Drosophila melanogaster: one gene and its partners. The protein of the gene in region 2 interacts with the protein of the main gene of each other region in a pairwise test. Each region holds a gene or a part of one and is shown on either strand. Other genes may lie near its edges.

Region 1 (4,694 bases), on a different chromosome or scaffold from region 2:
ATATTGCACCATATATTGCAGAGGGTACTCTGTCAGAAGTTTACAACGTAGTAAATTGGAAACATATAAATCATATAACATATAATGTTATGATTATACACATATCGTCCCATGTTCCATTTTCCGTCCATATGAACGCTGTGATCTCGGGATAAAAAAAGCTAGAAAGTTATGATTTAGCCAGCAGGACCATTCCTACTGTCTGAGTAACGGATATCTGATAGTCGAGGAAGTCGACTACAGCGTTCTCTCTTGCTTTAAATACACATATTTGTGTTTATTGCAAGGGTATCTAAGCTTCGACTTATCGGCGCCATCTTCTTTTCAGGTTGTGTATTGCGTTTTATCCGTGGCCTTGCCGATGCCAATCTCTTTTGCCGAGGCATGGGTAATTTTCGGCAAATAGAACTCTTGCCCAGGCTCAAAAGTCTTAACACATGTCTTGGGGAGAATTGGAGTAGAAAAATTGTAACACATGGTTAAGCACATTTAATCGTTGGGGTCTTAACCTTTTAATTTTATCACCCGCTCAACTTAACATATTTAAAAGGGTTAGGTTTTGAAAGATCAACTGTTTTGGCTTAAAGGTAAAATCTGCTCTTTTCTTGACTTATTCATCTTGTCCACTATAAATGCACTTCGCGAGTCAACTAAAAAAAGAGTCCGAAAACGTCAAATAGCTGCTGGCAACAACAAAGAATATGTCAGTCTTTTTTCTAAATCAGGAAACTTTTTCTTTCCTGTATCAAACTTTTGGATAGGTTTTTCACGAGCGAAAGCGGAAAAGTTAAATTTTCCGCTTAGTCCTAGCCGTAGACAAGCCATTTCATTTAAGAGGCCATCCCATGGGATCACTGGGCAGGCAACAGCCATCAACAAGAGAAATGATTAAACTTGACTGACCAGACACGCGCCTTAATGTCGTCAATTGACCTCAATCAATTATACACAATATTTTTTATTTGACCTTCGTTTATTCCATTAGAGTTTTTTTTATTTGTATTAAAATTCGGCGATGTGACTGTAAAACGCATCTGAGGCAGCCATTTGGCCTAGGAATAACATTTTTTCATGATTTAGCGTTGTTGTACGAGCTGAATTTGGTATGTGCTAGATAAAAACCAGCCGTTAAGCAATTTCAAATGTCGGGACACGGGTGAAATAAGCATTTGCCACCCGCAGTCAGTTCCGAGCAGGGGATGTCTTGGATGCCCCGTTGCGAGCAACCGCTTAGCAAAAGGCAAAGCCAGATATTATATGTTATCACCAGCGATGTATTACTGCTTCTACAGCACAGTGACTCAATATACAAATAAAGGTGAGAAAAAAATGCGATTCTCCTTTTTTTGACTTGTGCAAGAGCTTTTGATTTTGGAAACGAAACGTAGCCCAGAGAGACAGGGTATGGCGTTCCGTTGTATTTCGTGTTAGATAAATCATAAAGCAAAAATAATTTAATACACTTGCGTGCCCTGGTTGTAGCTCTGGCGACGAGGCGTATGTGCAATGCGGCGTGTCGGTTAATCATTTGCTTCTTTTATGAGCAGCCAAGCCGAATAATAAGCCTCAAAGAAAAGCGAGCTTAAAGGTGCACCTCAAACTCTGTTAAATTCACGGCCTATCACGACGGCACGACCCAACGCTCAACGCCAACTCATTATTTCCCCTGCAGCTCTAATTAGAGTCAAATATAACTAGGGGGCCTTGAGGACCCCGTACGCTAGCCTTGGCCATATTTAATGCGAGCTGAAAGGTCCGCGAGTTATGCAAATTTGCCCCGCCCACCGAATGCTCCGAACATTGACAAAATTATGCGCAATCGCGGGCCAGTCTCTCGGCTACCAACTTCCGGCGACAAAGTCAAGTCATGGATGGACATCCTGACCTCGCCCGCGGGTCCAGCCATTAGTCGTCATTAAAGATGATTGAATGCGAGCCCCGCTTTTGCATTGTATAAAAGGGGCACACTCCTGGTGACAACAGGGTAGGTAAAGTTGCCTTGGCGTCAGTTGGCAGTTTGGGAAAAGCCTACACACTTAATATTTCGATAGATACACTTATTTCGCAATCGTAGAAGATACCACAAATCTCTCTTCCGTAAATTATAAGTATGTCCAAGAGGGTGAGCATCATGTTGCCCGACGAAATACCTGCGGCTCCGTCAGGCAGCAGGAGGAACCCGATGCCCAGCCGCACACTCAAAAGTTCCATTAAAAGTGGATCAAGCGCTCGGACGCAACCCGCACCGCCAGTGTTCGTGGTTGTCAACCCGGAGAGCAGCCAAAGCTCGCTTACCTCGGGTCAGCGGAACAACACCAGCACGACCAGCAACAGTTCCCTTAACCAACGAAATAAGGAGCACTCCGCGGCGAGGTTGTCAGTAACCGAAGATACGGCAGCCCTGGACAGCAGTGCCTTGCTTCAAGGTGGATCCTCAAACTCTCGTGATACAGTTAACTTCGATTCGACCTCCACCTCGATCAGGATGTTCCTTAAGAACACAGTGGGCCTTGTCAGGGCAGGAGAGTCCTTCACATCTGTAAAACATCTCTTTCACAAGTTCATCAAACGCAGCGGTTCTGTGCCAAATTCCAAGCGTTCGTTGACATCCTCCTGCTCCCAGGCGGTAGATGAGGAAAATCCCTATATGAGCAAGTCCAATGATACGCTTCTGACGGACTCGCCCACCCGCACTACTGTGCCCAGCACCTCCCAGATAACGCCCACCTCACATTTCTCCAACTGCTCATTCAATAACACGAACTACGACCTTTCCAACCTCCTCTCTGACATCACCCCTTTGACTGGCTACACGCCAGTGGGTCTCACTGAGGAGGCTGACTACCGAACAGACACTTCCGCAAACACCGCATTGAACAGTGTGACATGCAATTTGGCGAGCTCGTCGGAGAATCCTTTGGGAAGCGGATTCGACAACAGTCCCTCGAAGATTTCTACCGATCAGGAGAAGATAGCGGACACACAAGGACGTCCTACTTCCAGAAATCGCTTTAGCAGCAAATCTTTTCGCCAGAAACTTAAGACCTCGCGCTCTAGTTCACCCAGAAAGTCGCCCAAGATGTCACCTCGAAATAAGCAGTCAGCACCTGCAATGGAACCCATATTTGCAATGGTTAGTTCATCTGGGCCTAACTCTTCTGAGGGATCACGGCGATCGAGCAAATCGAGCCTGAGGCGGAAGCAAAGTCCATTACCCAACGTAACTGCCAAAATCTCGGCCACCTCTAATTCAAGAGCGGACTTGGCTAAAGCGCCCAAGTCCAGGAAAGAAACCACCGCCCGATCAAACCTATCAAGAAAGAGCTACCGCCGGAGTTCACCCAGAAGCCGAAGTCGAGGTTCTCGGGCAAACGCCTTAGAGAGCCCCCTTCAAAAGAGCGAGGACACCCCCGACAATGTAGAGTACGCCTTCGCTCTGGTCAGCCCTGAGGAGGCGGGGAACAGTCAGCCTGAAGAAAGTAGTGCCGGTGTCGAGGATGCCTCCTCCAAGTGCGAGACATACCAAAAGGATTGCAATTGCCACCATTGCCAGGACATGCGTCGGGCGGTCAAGAGGTCCGACTTTTTCAAATCTCCCGAGGGACAGAAGCGGCTAGAGGCGAAGCTACTGGCCAAGAACTTCTTCATGGACCTATGCGTAGCGTCAGAAGTGCGCCGACAGGCTCAGTCCGATCTGCATGGAAAACGACGTCCTCCATCAGCGCGTCTCAGTTACCCGGTGAGCATCTGTGGAGCGTGCAGGCTGAGCGGAGGCTCGCTGTCGTTGCATTGGATCACCCATGACCTTGACAGCGTAGACCACTTCGACGTTTTTGTGGACAACGTGCCAAACCGTAGTGTCTACAACCGGCAGGCCACCTCCACCGTGCTCGTCGACGTGAACACCACCGAGACGCACACGCTGCGCCTACGAGCGGTGCCGGAGCGTGGGAGCCGTGGTCAGGATTCCTCGGTGGACAAATTCATGTCGGAGGTGGCGGCCGGGCATATGCGTCACGTCAGGCAGGGCCAGCTCTTCGCCACGTGCTTCGCGCACCTGGACGCCCGGCCGCAACAGCGTTCACTGGTGGATTTCTGGACGGACAGCGAGTTCTTGTACATGCCCACCCGCGAAACTCTTACGCCTTCAAAGGCTCGCTGACTGGCGAAAATAAACTGATTTATGAGCAGCAGTCCGTTTTGGGAGTGGATATGCGGCAGGAACAGCTGCGTGGGTGAAAATTGATTAGGCTAATTTAGAAGTGATGACCAATCGGCGCACTAAACTCTCAGTGCAAAAGCAGTGGCCCGGCTCCCACCTGCACCACGTTTTGCGAGATATTCAAAACGAATCGTGGGCCTGGTGCGGCCATCAGTCAACGAGACATGGGCGCTAAGCATCCCGCGCGTCTTTATCAGTGGCTTGCAGGCAGGCTGGCTTGGCGTGGGGGGACTGGTACTGACGAAGGCGTTTCGCGCTGATCTGTCAGAGATTTTGGGCCGCAAAGTGGCATGATTAATTATTTGGCAAATATTTGGATTCCGCGCTCTCAGCTCAGCTGGCTTCACCATGGAAATAAGGAAAACCAAAAATATGCGGACTGGCACTTTCATAGAGGAAAGAACGGGCGAGAAACCCAAACCGTTCAGTATTTTAATTAATTTTCACTTTCGTTGGGGACTAGTGAGCATTC
Region 2 (7,513 bases):
TGTTAAAAAGCATTTTTTATAGTTTGGTTTTCTATGCCTTTGAAAGCTTAAGGATTTACCACCCAATTTGTCTTAGATTTTGGGTTTGGGACATTCCGATGCAGTTCTTCCGCTCAAGCAAAACGAAAGGCCAGGATGCTAGTTAAAAGTGCTGTCCTTGGGCGGCATTTGCAGCACATTCATGTCGACGCTATCAAACGGCTCGTCATCGTGGGGAGGATACGGTTCCGGATCCCTTCGTATCCGAGCCTTTGAACTACGCATGACGAATCGGCATTTTACGCCCATTCCGAGCCGAAAGGACGAATTCAGCAGGGTTGCGACTGCTGTGGCAAATGCTTTGTGCCTGTCAACCGAGCGGAACTAATTTCGAGACTGCACCTGCAGAGCCACCAACATGGGATGCACCAACCACCAACCCGGCCGGTGGGTGGATTGCGCAAGTGGTCCAGCTTCCAAGGGGGGTGGAAGGGCAGTAAATCCACTTATCCGGGTTCGGGGTGTTTAAGTTCGATTGCTAGCACATTAACATTCTTTTATTTTACAAGGTCTAATTTTGATTTGGGCTTAAAATTCGACGGCCTTCGCCGGGCGGACTAGTGATCCATGGAGTCCTTGACGCCGCATTCGCCGTAGGATTGCAGCTCCTCCGGCCGGAAGTAGGAGCTTTGCATACTATATAGTCGGTCGATCGGATTGATCATAGGCGTCTGGGCAAAGGGACCCATTAGTTGCTGAAAGGTGGCGTAGCTCAGACCTAGAATGGTGTTCAATATGGGCTCGCTGTTCTTGTTGCAGTTCTCTGTAAATTGTATTTTATATTCCTTGATACGTAAATATCCTTAAAGGGCATAACCCACCTTTATTGGTCTCCATACAGTTGAAGGGCACTTGCTCCTGTTCGTCCTTAATGGTGCATCGCATCCGGGTCAGTCCATCGGAGGTCGTCGAGTACGGCGATTCCAGCTGTGATTCGCTGTCGCTGTGCGCCTCGTCCTTGATTTTGGTGGCCAGACTGCTGTCCAGCGATTCCTGCGAGTCCTGCGAGTCACTAGCTCCTTTGCTGGGCGGCTCCTGCTTGGCCTTCTTCTGAATCTTTTTGACCTTGGCTCGCTGGTTCTGGAACCAAACCTACAAAATACGATATTGGTTTAATAGAATATGTAATGATTAAATTCCATTTAAACCTCTTTACGCACCTGCACAATTCTCAGGCTTAATCCAGTATCCTTGGCCAGATTCTCTCTCACTTTTCGACACGGTTTCGGTGAGACTTCGAAGGAGGCCTTAAAAGCTCGTCTTTGCTGCGTGTTTAGAATGGTTCTCGGTCGCTTGGGTCCTCTTCGTCCGTCTAATTTGGGCGGGAAAAGCTCATCGCCATAGAAATCTACATAGTTATATGGTTATCATTGGGAACCGATTTCGAATAGGGCCATTACCCACCGTATCCCTGTAGCATCTCCACCTCCTTCTCGTAGTCGAAGCGGCAGAAGAGCTGCCCCTGTTTGACCACATACTGCTCCCCCTTCTTCAGCAGAGCTCCACACACCACACAGGCGAAGCACTTTAGATGGAAGACGTTCTCGTGGCATCGCATCACCAGCTCATCGGCGGCGATTTTAAGGCCACAGCCAAGGCAATGATTGCGGATGTAGAGTCTGTGGAGCGAAAATATAAATATATATCATATCATTCAAATATTAAGCTGTACCATTTAATAAACACTACCATTTTAAAGTAAGTGCAACTCACACGGAGTTGATTGTTTTAAGCGCCCCCCGTTTGGCAGGGTTCAGTAATCAGGACTCACCTCTCGTAGTCGACGCGGCAGTAGAGTTTGCCCTCCCTCGCATAACAGGAGTGGACCAGGTGCAGCGAGCAGGCGGTGCACTTGAGGCAGCCCTCGTGGAAGGAGTTCTCCACCACGCGCATGATGTAGCGATCGCAAATGGGCTGGCAGCAGTGGGCGCACTGGCTCAGCTGCGGCGATGCCATGGCCAGGCCCAGTTCCATGCCCATGCCGGAATTGGAGGCCATTCCCAGAGGCGCTTGCGGTGTGTTGGATGCCGATGGAGGTGCTGCCGGCGTTGCAAAGCCGTCCATTCCATTGAGGCTGCACTCGCCCAAAGTGATGCGGTTGCAGTGTGTATGGTTGGGTGGTCCTGGACCATGTCCTGTTCCTGTTCCCATTCCGGTTCCTGTGCCCGGTCCCATGCCCATCGGTTGCTTGTTTATGGCCATGTTGCTGCTGCTGTTGGTGCTGCTACTGCTGCTGCTGTTGCTGCTGTTGTGGTTACTGCAACTTCCGTTGACAGTTCTGCTGACTGACGCCATTTTGTCATTGTGGGCTACTCCGGCTTTGGTACTCGCACTCCTTCCGGCTGCCACCACCACCGATGTTGCTGCTGTCGTTGGTGTTGTTAACATGCGTTCATTTCCGTTCAACAGCAGCAGTTGATTGAGGCCCCCAGTTTGCGGCAGTTGGCCAGCACCCAGTTGCTGCTGTTGACATTTTATGTCCATCGGAACTATTTTGGTTTTGCGGTCGTGTCGTTGGTCCAGATCAGCCCACCGCCCCAAAGGAACATGCAAATGAGAAACATTTCAGTTATTTTTATTTTCAATGTGGCCAAGAGCGCCCTCAATTTACAACTATGGTTCGGTCATCAGGCATAAAAAGGGTTCCCGTTTTTGCGGGCAGGACCAATGTCCATCTGCCTCGCACTGTGACCATAACCGTTTCGAGTTGTAGTAAATTTGTGGTTTTGCAATTATTGAAATGACTTTTCCACCAACGGAAAGAGTGTGAGTAAATGTGCGAGTGTGAGTGCGACTGCACTCGAAATTCCCCGAAATGCCATGCGAAATGTGGCATGTAAAAAATACGACCAACGTGGCGTATGCGTAACCGATGCGTATGTGCGATTGTTTGGCTTGGTGGCAAAAAATTACTGTACATTTGCGGTGCTGACTGGTTGGCTTTTTGTGCCTTGTTGTCTCAATTTATGGCAAATTGTTGAAATTTCAACGTAATTTGTTTCGAGCTTCCAGCTTTTGTGCTCCTCTGTGTGTGTGTGACGTTCATTTTGTTTGGTTTTTCCCTTGTTTTCACTGGTGTGCGTTTCACATGCGTGTGTGTTTGTCATTCCGCATTTGAGTGATTTAAATGTGTGCGTAATTTCATTAAATGTTTTGCAAAAATAATATCTGGTATGCCAATTTATGCCAGAAATATGCCCAGAATGTTAAAGTATTCCAGCCATCGTTTACATTAACAATTTTTGCTACACCTCTTGCACTGATTGACGTGAATTGCTCTAGACCAGCTTGCACTCAGTTTGTTCTGCCAAATGACAAATAAATGCGAAAATAGTCGATTGCAGCTCTCAGTACATTTAATTGGACTGCATTTAATTGCCATTTGGATATAGAAAAACTATGCAGAAAAATAGCTGGGAAAATGGGAATCAAATAGTGTTTTGTCAACCAATTAAGCGATTTGTAAAATAGTCAGCAAATATTTTTGTGACTTCAGTACTCTAAATGAAATTCAATATAGTTTTTGGTTGATTTATACAAAACCACCGCAATATAAAACCTGCAGAAACAATTTAGCTTTGCTCTATCTAAAAACATTTAGAAATTAAGCTGAAAACTTGTTCTTTGAATTATTTTGTAACTTTTGGCATTAGCATTATATATATTTTTTTAAAGCATTTTTTGAGTTTTCACCTTTATATACAATTCTTTTTATATATTTAATAATGAATTAAACTTCATTTATGTGTAACAAAATATTGCTGACATGTGTGCTATGTTCGTTGGGTGTATTTTGGCTTTATAAACTTTTCAATATGCTACTTATTCATAGCAACTGAAGTCTCCAGCAGTGTTTAACCCAATTTCCAAGGTCCTGATCTCCCCATTCCCGATACCCATTAACTTGTGACACTTGGAACTGCGGGAAGCTATTTCCTAAGATGTGCAGCGGAATAATCCGCTCAACAACCACACCTGTTACACTTTTAGTGCTCTGTCATTGCCATTTGACATTTGAAAATATACCAACATGTTTGCCGGACATGTCGGAGAATAGAGCTCGAGGATTTTGGGACGACAAGTGTAAAGCCGACATTGATAGCACTTCCACTTGCCCACGCTCTAATTAGATTCTAATGTGCAGTGGAAATCGAGGGACGGGTTGCAAATGCCACCCCTTGCAGTGCTCATAACTATGTAGATTATAAACGAATTTCAATGAATCCGGGGGCTAACCGAGGGCATTTAGCTGGCGGATTTCCACCCTTACGGAAAATATGCTCGGGCTTAGCAAATAAGCATGAGGATGAGGCTGGAGGGGATCAGGATTTCGGTTACGGCGGCTGGCGGCTGGCTGCTGGCGGCATATGTTGGCAGTCGACGACAGTGAGTGGGTAAGCGGAAACCCTTGGAAATGCTTGCCAGGATGTCGGCTGCGCTGCCAGGATGCTGTGTGCTGCCTCCGAATCCGCTGTCAGTTGCCAGCAGTTCGCTCGGCAGCAACTGACAGCGCTTTATTTAATCGGATTTGAGTAGACAATAGAGTTATGGTGCCATTGCCGTTTTGTTGTGCCAGCAATCGCAGCGCAAATGCTTTGTTTTGTCCTAATCTCTGACAGAAGTCAAAATTTGCTTTGCTCTGGAAAATATGTTGTAATTTTCATTGGCTTTCAGCCAGTCGGATTCGAGTGGACGTGTGTGCAGTCGGTCATATGCATACTTGCCACTCTGGGTGCTAAATAGCATTCACTGAAGGCAAATTGAAGCAAAAGTGTTGAGATGCAATGTTTAAACTTGGGATTTGCTTTGTGCGAAGTAGAATTTAGCAAGAAAATGGCAAATTTTCACAAATAATTCATCTTTGGTTTCTAATAATTTCATGTGCAAAACTTATTTATGCTGCTATTAAGTTAGTATTTTTAAAACCAATTCAACTGAATAAAATTTGTATAAAATGTGCTGATCTCTTTGACTGTTATAAATCAAAATCACTAATGGCCAAAACGAAAATCCACTTTATACCTTTGAAAAGTGTGCAATTGTGATATCACAATTACCGATATAACACATGATACATGGTGGCTTATTCCTAATTCACTTATCTAAAGGTATTTGATTTGAGCTAATCACTTGATGCTAATATTTAAACTATGATTAAACTAGAGAAAAAGTGAATGAAATATATGCACTCTTCTACTTGAAGCTATTTACATACCATAAATTAATGAGCACTTTTTAACATAATTAATAAACTGATAGAAAAATGCCGACGGGATTGGGAATGTTGGGCTTGTAATGCCGTCGGTTATTGGAATAGATTCAGACTTCATATTCCTCGGGTTTGCCCATACTTACACATTCCGATCTGCATGGGATGGTGTTCGTCGATCATTTTGGAATCGTTCAGTTCGGGAATAGAAAAACTATATAATCACGTTCACAGACATTTATGAAATTTTCTCAGGGCTTTTCACGCGATTTTCCTACGTATCTTTGCACATTTTGTGAGCACAGCTTTCAGGACGCCTAAGGACACATTTGGGGACTCGAAATGCAGTTGGCAACTGTTGTTTTGGGGCGGCCAGTATCGGACTTCTGACCTGGCCCTGTTACGAAACGCGATGCTTGAATGATTACGGACCTCTGATGTTAATGAAATTTGTTAAAAATCATTTGCTCTTCTTTGGCCAAATGCACAAGCATCTGCTGCCGAGATAGGAAATTCTCTCCAACCCGAAGGAGAAGTGCCCACTGTTTGCCTTTGTGTGTGTGTGCGTGTGCGCCATTTTATGGCACATCCTGTGCTCCCATATCCTTTTTGGCTCCATCCCCGTGCAAGCCATTGAGAGCCAGCCATTTGCCTTTCCCCAGCTTCCGTGAGATTCGCCAGCTTTTGGCGCATGCGTCGATCGGAACCCCCATATCATACCATCTCATCTCATCTCATGCGTTTTAATGCCGATTTTGAATCCGGGTGGCGCTTCTGAGTTGTTTTGGCTTTTTGTGTTTTGCTGGTTTTGTTGTTGTTGTTGTTGTTTGATTTTTCATTTTGCACTTTTGACTTTTGTCTTTGTCTTTGCTCGTGGGCACATTTATTTGTTTTGTTGTACGTACGTATTTTGTATTGACAAAAGGATGTTTGGCTCGGCGATTTCTTGCTTGCTTTGTCGCCTCAGCAACAACATCCCCGCCCCCCCAAAAAAAAACAGGACTCTCCCTCAATGGCTGGAATTTTGTTGTCCTTCTTTTCTTATTTTTATTTTTACCGTGTGTGTGTGTGTTTGTGAGCTGGCTAGGATTTTATTCCCTTTTCCCGCAGTGGCTTGTACATTTTAAATTTATTGATTTTCGAACGCTATAAAAAGGACTAAGCTTAAAGACCAGTCCCGCTGCTTTAATTAAGGTTTGCGGCCCAGTGTCCAGGAGAATTTTGCTCAAAGAGCTAGCTGTTAATGAGGGTGGCCGGTGGCCCTTTAAACCTGGCCAAAATGAATTTTCTGGTCTATTAAACCGGGGCGCCAAAAACTTTAATGTCTAAGCACTTTGCCGGCTGACTGTATGTCTAGCTTCCAGTTCAGAGTTCCCAGTACCCAGTTGCCGAGATGAGGACTTGTCTGGTCGAAACTCCTGGCTCTTGGCCTCTTTTCCGACGAAAATTCCCAGAAAAGTTTCGTAAACGCGAACGTGTTACTCACAATTAGTGTGCGGGCGAACCATTTAACTGGCAACCAACCAGCCATCTTTCGCTTTCCCAGCCCACTTTTCCCAACTCCGACGATGATAATAGTTATGTGCGGTAATCTTTGCGATTCATAATCAGTACACGGAGCACGGGGATGTGCAGGGAATTTAAAGGACAATGGAGCTACATTAAATGCTTGATCCTGGGGGATTTTGCGATGGGTACTTCTTTTGTTGTGCTTCTTTTATATCAGGTAGGAAACATGTAATTTCTTAATAAAGGAGTGACAATAAATGTTGGCATTTGTTTAACTAAGTGCCAAAAACAATTGCTAAGTAATGCAAGATTTAAAAATACATTTTTATAAAAAATTGTAAGATCATTTAAACTGTATTGTGTAATTCATAATAATTTATTTTGTAATTATTAATAATTGTTATTTTGTTTAATTTGTTCATTTACTAACTGTTAACCTTATATATTTTTAGTTGGCACCTTAAACGATATCTATGTGTATTATGTTAAATCTTATAAATAATATTTATTGAACAATATTCTAAGAAATCTATATTTGTAGCTGATGATGATGAGTAATTGTTGCAGTTCTGTTGTGATGTTGTGATTTTGAAATTTTCATATACATTTCTCTCTCCTCCCTTCAGCTTCATCTCGCAAAGGCTTCCAAACTTTTGGCACTTTGTCTACGCAGAGCCTAGACATGGAAACTCAAGGGCGGCGGTTTTGGAGGCACCACCGCCTCCATCCCTGCATCCATCCATCTATTCCTCCATC
Region 3 (5,036 bases), on a different chromosome or scaffold from region 2:
AGGTGCAGACCCTTGAAACCTTGCCAATGGATTTCACCAAGTGAGTTAAATTCTTTTTCATCTCGGTCGAAGCATTTTCGTTCATAAATGTATATAATATATTTAAGACCTCATGCCTTCGATGCCCTGACAAAGCGGAAACCGGCTCCCAGACTTTTCTGCGACATCTGCGATGAGTTTGATCAGCACGATACGGAGGATTGTCCAATCCAGGGAAGCGAAGATCAAGACTACTCCACACCGTCATCCGAGTCCAACAACAACGAGAAGGAGCGGAAGCTGCCGGCACCCAGGAAATACTGTGATTCCTGCGAGGGTGAGTAAAATAAAATATCAAATTTTACTGACATTTAACAATGTTTTTCCCAATTACAGTTTTTGGCCACGATACGAGCGAATGTGCCGATGATGAAACCTATTAGTTAGCTCTAGTTAAATTCTATTATTTCCATTTTACTTTGTTTTAGACTCTATAGCATAACCATATTGCGAGATCTATCAGATGAGATACTTTTACCTCAGCAGAGCTTCACTCAATCACACAAAGAAATTTCTCTACTTAAAATTGTGATCTTGCGTTATGCACACATCCATGGATAGTAGTCTATTTTAAATTGTTTTTATTTATTGAATGCGATTCGTGGCAAACACACAATCGGTTGTTTTCGTAATTTTTGAGTGTAAACATAGTGTAAAAAATAAAATCAAGAACGTGGAAGAAGAAGCTTTTATTGGGTTTTCATAAGACTAAGGAATTAATTGGTAATTATATGATTAATCGCCGCCCTCCTTCTTCTCCTTGATGGCGTCCTGAAATCAGAGAAACATGGATATTAAAGAAATGTTTCGAGGACGTTTTGTGCAGGTAATACTTTGAAACGCTCTTCGAAGAGAGATAATTCTGCTAGAAGATCGGTTATGGCGTTCATGAATGCTTCCTGCGGAGAATAATCGGCCGTAGTCTGGATGCGGATGACGAACTTGTGCTCCAGAGGATGCGGAACCTTGTAGCCGGCAAACAGAACATTGGGATCCTTCAGCAGTTGGCTGCAGGCAAGAATGCAAATTTAATGTGTAATCAGACGGGCTTGTTGGCCAACATACTTGCGGATCATGTTGCCCAGCGTGTGATCCTCTTTGTTTATGGTGAATATAGCCGCATTGGTCACTTTGGTGTCCAGTTCCTTGATGATTCTGCAGCCGCGCCATAACAAACATAAAAACGGGTTAAAGGTGGTCATTCGGAGTAGTCTGTTTTCTTTACTCACTTTTTCTCGCCTTCATAGAGCAGAAATGACTCAAAGGTAGGTGGTGCGTTCATTTTGATGTCTTACTTTTCGTTAGTTACTGCAAAACTTATAAATTGTTTATTAAAATCAGCAGCACGCTCAGCAAAATTCTCCGGTACAGTGTTGACTAACGCCCAAGTGCAACACAAGCTAAAGTAGCTATATCTAGCAAAAAGTAGCTAGAACGCCTAGCTAATTTATTTTAGTATTTTATAAATCATTTTTAATGTGAGCATCTATTAAATAAAATAAAACTTGTACTTTGAATTTGAAAATAATTTAATTTGCTTATGTTTTTTGGTCATTAAATAAATAGCTTAATCACTTCTTGCAACCAACACTGGCAGCCGATACCTATCGCATAGACAAGCTGTTGTGGGCCATCCCTAGGTTTCGGTGGTTGAATTATTTGCAAATTTTTATCCAATCGCGCCAAACGCTGCGCATTCCGCCACTTTCGAGAAACTGACACGAAGCCAAGCTAAAAATACATTATTAAACAGCTGACATGAGCGAGTCGAATGCCACAGATGGTGTCCACGAGGTTGAGGAGTCCAATCCGCTGGAGCAGTCGACCATTACGATGCTAGATGTCCTGGAACAGGAAAAGGAGCTGGAGGACGAGTACGCCGCAGTGCTGGGCGCCTCCGATGAGAAGTCGTGCACTTACGCCAAGGGCCCCATCGGCCGACAGGCTCTGTACTCGTGCCTCACTTGTTGCCCCGAGGCGCGCGAGGATCTGGACAAGGCCGCAGGAGTCTGCTTGGCCTGCTCCTATCGCTGTCACGAGCACCACGAACTGGTGGAGCTCTATACTAAGCGGAATTTCCGCTGCGATTGTCCCACCCAGCGTCTGGGCAAGTGCTCCCTGAACCCACAAGTCGAGGGCGTTCAACCACGTAACGTGGGCAATCTGTATAACCAGAACTTCCAGGGGCTGTACTGCAAGTGCAAGCGACCCTATCCCGATCCCGATCGCACCGTTGAGGAGGTTATGCTGCAGTGCGCCATCTGCGAGGACTGGTTCCACTTGCCGCACATGAAAGCGCCCGGCGCCAGCGACAAGTGGCTGGATGTCTGCAGCGAAATGATTTGCGATGGCTGCATGGATGCCAAACCCTTCCTAAAGGACTACACTGGATTAGCCCTGCAGCCTGTGCTAGAAGATGCGAAGGAGGACAAGCCGGAGGCTGACGATAGCCAGCTGAAGAACGAGTTGGACCGCAGCATCTGCGATATCATGAAAGTTCCTGAAGGTGAATCTCAGCCAGACGAAGGCGAACCCAGCCAGAAGCGCGCCAAACTGGACGATTGTCGTCGGCCCAAACCAACCAAGGAGCATCAGGGTGAGTAAATTAATATAGATATACATGCGTATGCTCAAAAAAAAAACATATTTATGCAAAAGCAACCTTAATACATGAAAAGCAAGTCAAAGTTCTTCTTGCCATCGCCCAAGTAAAGGAAACCATGCTTGTGGGAGTTGATTTTGTGAAAGAATGTCATGCCCAACCAAAGGCACGACTTGATTATTACCAAACCCTCGTTCCGTTGCATATTCAGGGCAAAAGCCTGACACAGTGGTATTACGCAGTCAATGGTGTCCAGAAAGTCAATAGCATAGTTATAGTCGCTCCTCTTGGCCAAATTGACTTTGAGATCATTGCGGGGCAGGCGATAGAGCTGGTAATATGATTGGTTGTCGATCTGCAAGTCATTCAGTCCACGAAACATCTGGTTGGGTATAACACGACCATCGGTCATCTTGTAAAAGGCTCCGCGTGGGCAAATGGCACACTCCTCTGTTATAATAAACACAATGGCTGCCAGCCGTTCCTCCTCCTTAAGCTTGACCACTTCAGGGCGGCTGATACCAGCCACCTGATTGCCTACGATGTCAAAAGTGGGGTCCTGTGTGCGTACAATATCAGAAAAACCACCACCACATTTACGTACTATCAACTCACCAGCTTAACGTAGGTCATCAGGCTGGGATCTCCTATAAATGGCTCCCTTGCCAATATAGTCGCCTGAAATATCTTGGGGCTCTGTACGAACGGCAGCAACTGCCATTGGAACTGGTCCAGACTGTAGAAATACTTGCGATCCTTGAGACAGTCATTAGTGTAGCCAAAGGCAATGTAGTAATCGTTCTTGGTGGCCGTAATGCGACCCCAAAGATACATGCCCGTAAAACGATTGTCATTTTGTAAAGCGATCAGCGAGTTTTCAATCAAGATGCGCTGCTCCGGCGACAGCTTCATGCCGCAGTACATTAGGCAGTCGAGGCCCTCGGTGAAGAACTCCAAATTCATGACGAAAGTATCTTAGCAATTTATATGTGAAGTGTTGAAATAAAATATGGATTTAAGTGCTGAGAGTATTTGAAAGAAAACTCAGAACCGTAAAAAAAAATATGTTAGCGGAATGGATTTTTAATTACATGGCATGCATAAATCAGCACAAACTCTTTGAACTGCCAATTTCCCCCATTTATTCATCTCTACCCTTTCTCTTTCAAGGAGCTGCTTTCTGGACAAATGACTGGCGAAAATCACTCTGTCAGTGCTCCGAATGCCTGTCGCTTTACAAGGAACTTGCCGTGGAGTTTCTGCTGGATGTCGAGGATTCGGCTAAGACGTACGAGGAGCGCGGCATGAAGCGGGCTGAAGAGAATTCCAGTTATGAGCAAGGAATCCGGGCACTGGCCTCCATTGACCGGACACAGCAAATCGATGCGATTACCGAATACAATCGCATGAAGGACAAGCTAAAGGAATACCTGCAGGCATTCGCCGCCAGCAAGAAGGTAGTGACCGAGGAGGATATCAATCGGTTCTTTGCCGGCATGCGCAATGAGAACAATGCCAACCTGGGTCAGCCCTATTTCTGTCGCTAAACAGTTAGCACTCTATATTACTCTAGTATTACCCACATTCCCCCATGAAAGCGAAACATACATACATACATCATGTAAATTCTAAAGTTATATTTTATTTAAACAATAATCATTTTCAATTCACTTTTGTCAATAACGAAAAGTCGTAACAAGGCATCGGGCAATGAGATTCGCATTTCCCTCATTAAATTTATGTACATTGCGGTAAAATAGAATTATATAAGACAGGTTTTGTGTTGAAGTTCATTTTGGATTGAGACCTTTTTACATGTAGCTCTAATTGGTTAATTTCCGATATATTTTATGAAATATATGTACACTAGTATTTAGCAAAGTTTGTTGTTCATTTGAATGGCTGAATTCCCAAGCTATTGAGTTCTGCCTCAATGTCCTGGATAAGTTCGCTGGTGTCAATGGGCGCCATGCCTATGCTGCTGGAAATTAGATCACTAAACGATTGGGTGGGTTCATCTGCTGGAGGTTGCTGCTCCTGTGGCTGCTGTTGCTGTTGGTACTGCGACTGTTCTGGATGGGATTGGGCCAGATATGGAATGGACTCTGGCTGCAATTGCGGCAGGAACTGCTGAGTCTGTTGATATACCTGTTTAATGCCAAAATTTCCTTGTGGCGGTATGCTTATGGCACTCATTTTCTGACTTAAAAAGTCATTGTTATTGTTATTAATTAGTACATTGTTGTTATTATTGATTGGTGTCATAGAGCCACCACTGAAATGGGTAGGACTACAGCCGTTTACCGGAAAGTTTGAATTCTCCGGCAGATACATATGGTTATTCCTCTGTCCGATTTGAAACGGCGGAATGCTATCCACTGTACTGCAATTGGAC
Region 4 (4,392 bases), on a different chromosome or scaffold from region 2:
TTAAGGTATTAAGCATGATCCAGCCGGCAGATGGGGCCCTCCTCCACCATCTTTAGATCCACTTTGGGTCCGACCAAATCGCGAATGTTGTTGATGCCGTACTTGATCATGGTGGGTCGCTCCAGCGACAGACCCCAGGCGATTACATTCACGTTCTCCGGCAGTCCCATGGGCAGCAGCATCTCCGGCCGGAAGACGCCCGAGTTGCCCACCTCGATCCACTTGGCCAGGCCGGGGTGATAGCAGAAGATCTCCATGCTGGGCTCGGTGTACGGATTGTACGCCGGCTTGAATTCAAGCTGCGTGATGCCCAGCTTTCTGAAGAACTCGTACAGCGTGCCAATGAGATCGCCCAGCGTCAGACCAACATCTGCAATCACGCCCTCCACCTGATGGAACTCCGCCAGATGTGTGGCGTCCAGTGTTTCGTTGCGGAACACCTTGTCGATGCTGAAGTACTTGGCTGCTTTGAAGCCGCCCTCCTGGTTGGCCAGCTTGTACAGCATCCTCGCACTCACGGCCGTCGTATGCGTGCGCAGTAGATTCTTCTGCGCCTCCTCCAGCTTCCAGTCGTAGCCGTAACCCTTCGATCCATAGCCACCCACAGAGTGCACCTTCTTCACGCGCTCCAGATAGTCCTGCGGAAACTTGTGGCTTTTGGCCGGATGATTCACGAAGAAGGTGTCGTGGGCATCGCGAGCTGGATGCTGTTGCGGCTGATAGAGCGCATCGAAGTTCCAGAATGACGATTCCACATAGTTGTTCGTAGGCATCTCTGAGAAGCCCATCTCGAGGAATATCTGCCGGAACTCAGTGCGCACTTTGAGCAAGGGATGGAGATGTCCACGCGTTGGTGGTGCACCCAACGCATCAAAGTTATAGGCCTTGAACTTGAGCTGGTCCCACAATCCATTTGCGAGCATTTCCACCGTGAGATCCGTCTCCAACTTGGTGAGAGTGGTGGCAAATTCAGGGCCGCGTGCCAGCACGAAGCTCTTGGTGGTCGTTTCCTGGAGGAGCTTGCGTTTCTTGAAGTCGGCCACCTCCTTGGCAGGCAGCTGGTCACCCTTTCCCAGCGCCACCTGCTGCAGTTGATTGCGCACCACATCCGTAATGGTGTCCACCTTGCGGCGCACCAGCGGCGGCGTGACGCTCTTGTCCACCAAAATCCAGCCGTGCGACATGGCTTTGCTAAAGCCCACTTTGGCATTTGCGCCACCGGCTGCCATTAGAGCCGCCTGGGCGATTCCCTCCGGCGGAACTAGGTCGTAGACCAGTGCCTCATGACTGCCATTCTCCACGACGGCGCGACCCTCGTCTGTGAGGCCCAAACTCTTGTGGGTGACCGTTTCCGCGGTGACTAGTTCGCCATGCGCCTGTATGCTCTTCAATGAGCCCACAATCTTCTGGTGATCCTCGGCAAAGAGTGCGGCCAGGTCCAGTGTGTCCGCCTTGTCGGTGGTCTCCAAATGCTGGAGAATGCGCTCCGTGAGATCGGGATGCATAGCTGGCGGTTCAATGGTTGTATCTTTCAAGGAAATTCGGAATTTCAATACCGGAATCTCGTGTTGCCACAACGCAGCCTATCGGAGCTATCGTTCTTCGATAACTGCGTCTATCGTTCGAAACGACGACGGTGGCTAAAAAATAGCCAATAAGCTTAAAATAGCTATAATTATATCTAGATATTGGAAATTTGTATAAATATTTCAGCGAATAGTAAGATATGATACTTTTGTCACTAACATTTCAAAAGTAAATGAAATAATAATAAAGATGTCTCATATAAAGAACTGGTTTCAACTCGGTTTATTTTTCCGCTTACCATCACAGTGGCACCTCCAATAAAAACAGCTGTTGACGCCAAGACTAAAAGTTTGCGTTCCAATTAGAACGGCGAATATATTCGAAAAAAGGAGCAAATCCTGGGGAGCAACGGCCAGGTGGGAGCCGCAATCATGCTCAAGTCCCTCAAGCCGGACACGTACGCCGGAATGGCGAACGCCAAGTGCGGCGAGATCTACTTCCAGAGCCTGCACAGCTTCCGCATCGACTGTGCGTTCTGCGAGATGAAGAGCTTTGTGTTCGGAGACTTCCTGCTCCACGTCCAGAACATTCACTTCGAGAACGGCCTGCTGAAGACGGAGGCAACGGACGCCGGTGCGAATCTCAAGCAGGAGCGGGATCGTGAGCGGGAGCCTAACTCGCCGGTGCCCATTGTGGCGCAGGTGAATCCATTTGCCTGGTACGAGATTGGTGGCGATCACAACGAGGACAGCGACGATGAGCGCGTTGTCCTGGAAAAGCAGGATGAGGACGAAGATGAGCGGCCAGGCAGAAGCATAATCAAGTGGCAGGACCATCAGTCGCTGACCAGCGAATCTCTACGTCAAGTCCGAGCCCTCAAGGTGGACTACAAGGAGGAAGACTCCGAGCAGGAGGAGTGCGGCATGGAGCTGGATCTGGACAGCGAAGGCAGGCACTCTGCCAAGATTCCGCACTCGTGTCCGCACTGCACAAAAGTTTACCAGAGCCGCAAGGTCCTCGAACGCCACATAATGCGCCAGCACAAAGACACTCTCTCGCCGGATGTGGACAGCGAGGACGCGGACTACGAGCCGCCCAAGGATGCGCCCGTCAAGTCCGCTGCCCAGGAGTACAAGTGCGAGCACTGCGGCAAGATCTACCATGGCAAATACAGTCTGCGTCAGCATTTAAAGCGGGATCATGACAACGGCGAGGAAGGAGGCTCCGCCATCTTCACCTGCCTGGAATGCGAGGCCCAATTGCCGCGCCTGCGCCTGCTGGACGAGCACATGGTGCAGGCGCATGGCGGCGCTGCCTGTGTGGTTTGCGGGCGGCGCTACAAGACGCGACACGAACTGAAACGCCACCAGCTCAAGCACACCAGCGAACGGAACGTGCCCTGCCCGCATCCCGGCTGCGGCAAGCGCTTCTTCACCATCCGTCATATGCGCAATCACGGCAAGGTGCACACGGAGCAAAAGAACTTCGTCTGCGAGAGCTGCGGCTACAGCTGCCGGAACAAGGAGACGCTGCGCGTCCACATCAGGAGCCACACGGGCGAACGGCCGTTCGGGTGTCAAGTGTGCGACAAAAGATTCCCCTCCCATTCCGGCCTGCGAGAGCACATGGCCATGCATTCCACGGAGCGACCGCATGTGTGCAGCGTTTGCGGTGCGACCTTCTCCCGACAGAAAGGCCTCTACCACCACAAGTTCCTGCACGCGGACACCAAGCAGTTCGTGTGCAAGCTGTGCGGGAATGCCTATGCCCAGGCCGCCGGTCTCGCTGGACATATGCGCAAGCACCGGAACGACGAGCTCAACGGATAGGATCCGGATCACCGAGGTCGTAGTCTAAGTTGTACGTTTTGTATCTTCCAATTCCGACGTTTAAGTTCAGGAACTCAGGCATAGGCTATATATAGGATTACCATAGAAATCAATGGTTTTTTGCATTGCTCCGGCATGGAGCGGGTATCATGTGACTCTTCGGTCCTCGTTTCACGGGTTTCCATCGAATTTATTTGACACGCACTGTAAATAATATCCCTAGTTTTAGATAAACTGAAAGTTTGTTAATCTGTTTCGAGTGAACTTAGTTTGAGGCAAATTTAATTGGCTCGATTGTAAGTACTAAGACTAAACTACATTTCCATGAATTTTCTAAACTACCAACTCAAATAATAACTAAACTTTGTTAAGGTTTAAACTATACATTAAGCACACAATGCTTCCAAGAACCAAATCGAACGCCGTAATCTCGGCAACCGGATGTGGCTAGTATTCGAATGGTTAACTTTTTTGTATTGATAAATATACATAACATGAATTTGATTCGCAAAAGAGAGCCCGCGTTTAAAATTAGCCAAGCGATTTGGTACCTTTGACAGCAATTAATCGGTCGACTGCTGCTAAAGCGGCCAAATGCCAAGATGGTATTGGATGGGGTGCGTCTAACAATAGTGCCGACGATTAGATTTGGCACACGCGGACCGACCATGTCGGCGGAACGTCCAGCTGCCAGCTCCGATAATCGGCGACTTATGTGCGAGTTCTGCGGCTATCGGACGCGCATCTATTGGAATCTGCAGATCCATCGTCGGCGACACACCGGCGAAATGCCCTTCAGTTGCCAGCAATGCCAGGCGCGTTTCCCGGCCAGCTATCAGCTGAAAAGCCACTTGGAGCGGCACTTGGACGCCGGCGAGCGACGCCAGCGGCACATTTGCACCGACTGCAACGTGGGTTTCTCCAGTTCGCGGGCCCTGTACCATCACCGGACGCTCCACGAGGATGGGAAGCGCTTCAAGTGCTCCCAGTGCGACAAGTCGTTCGCTCAGGCGGCGGGCTACGCCCAACACAAGCG

The links.
Region 1: the proteins of CG4328 (region 2) and CG7856 interact in a two-hybrid assay, tested with the Drosophila melanogaster proteins (one large-scale study listed by BioGRID).
Region 3: the proteins of CG4328 (region 2) and CG15141 interact in a two-hybrid assay, tested with the Drosophila melanogaster proteins (one large-scale study listed by BioGRID).
Region 4: the proteins of CG4328 (region 2) and CG2129 interact in a two-hybrid assay, tested with the Drosophila melanogaster proteins (one large-scale study listed by BioGRID).

The regions. Positions count from the first base shown.
Region 1 is NT_033778.4:6,056,852-6,061,545, reverse strand, and holds CG7856 (uncharacterized protein), read left to right. Parts: upstream 1-1,987; 5' UTR 1,988-2,110; coding exon 2,111-4,162; 3' UTR 4,163-4,189; downstream 4,190-4,694.
Region 2 is NT_037436.4:12,290,440-12,297,952, forward strand, and holds CG4328 (uncharacterized protein), read right to left. Parts: upstream 5,685-7,513; 5' UTR 5,432-5,684; coding exon 5,395-5,431; intron 2,529-5,394; coding exon 1,811-2,528; intron 1,659-1,810; coding exon 1,444-1,658; intron 1,388-1,443; coding exon 1,200-1,387; intron 1,132-1,199; coding exon 861-1,131; intron 803-860; coding exon 597-802; 3' UTR 517-596; downstream 1-516.
Region 3 is NT_033779.5:17,408,984-17,414,019, forward strand, and holds CG15141 (uncharacterized protein), read left to right. Parts: upstream 1-1,657; 5' UTR 1,658-1,797; coding exon 1,798-2,635; intron 2,636-2,665; exon of another isoform or gene 2,666-2,702; coding exon of another isoform or gene 2,703-3,200; intron 3,201-3,256; coding exon of another isoform or gene 3,257-3,604; exon of another isoform or gene 3,605-3,650; intron 3,651-3,811; coding exon 3,812-4,188; 3' UTR 4,189-4,516; downstream 4,517-5,036. Other genes in the region: CLIP-190 (cytoplasmic linker protein 190), read left to right, coding at 1-40, 108-316, 376-422; Polr2J (RNA polymerase II subunit J), read right to left, coding at 775-810, 873-1,047, 1,105-1,194, 1,269-1,321; Rsph9 (radial spoke head protein 9), read right to left, coding at 2,703-3,200, 3,257-3,604.
Region 4 is NC_004354.4:8,143,991-8,148,382, forward strand, and holds CG2129 (uncharacterized protein), read left to right. Parts: upstream 1-1,848; 5' UTR 1,849-1,958; coding exon 1,959-3,356; 3' UTR 3,357-3,865; downstream 3,866-4,392. Other genes in the region: alpha-PheRS (Phenylalanyl-tRNA synthetase, alpha-subunit), read right to left, coding at 9-1,505; CG15336 (uncharacterized protein), read left to right, coding at 4,025-4,392.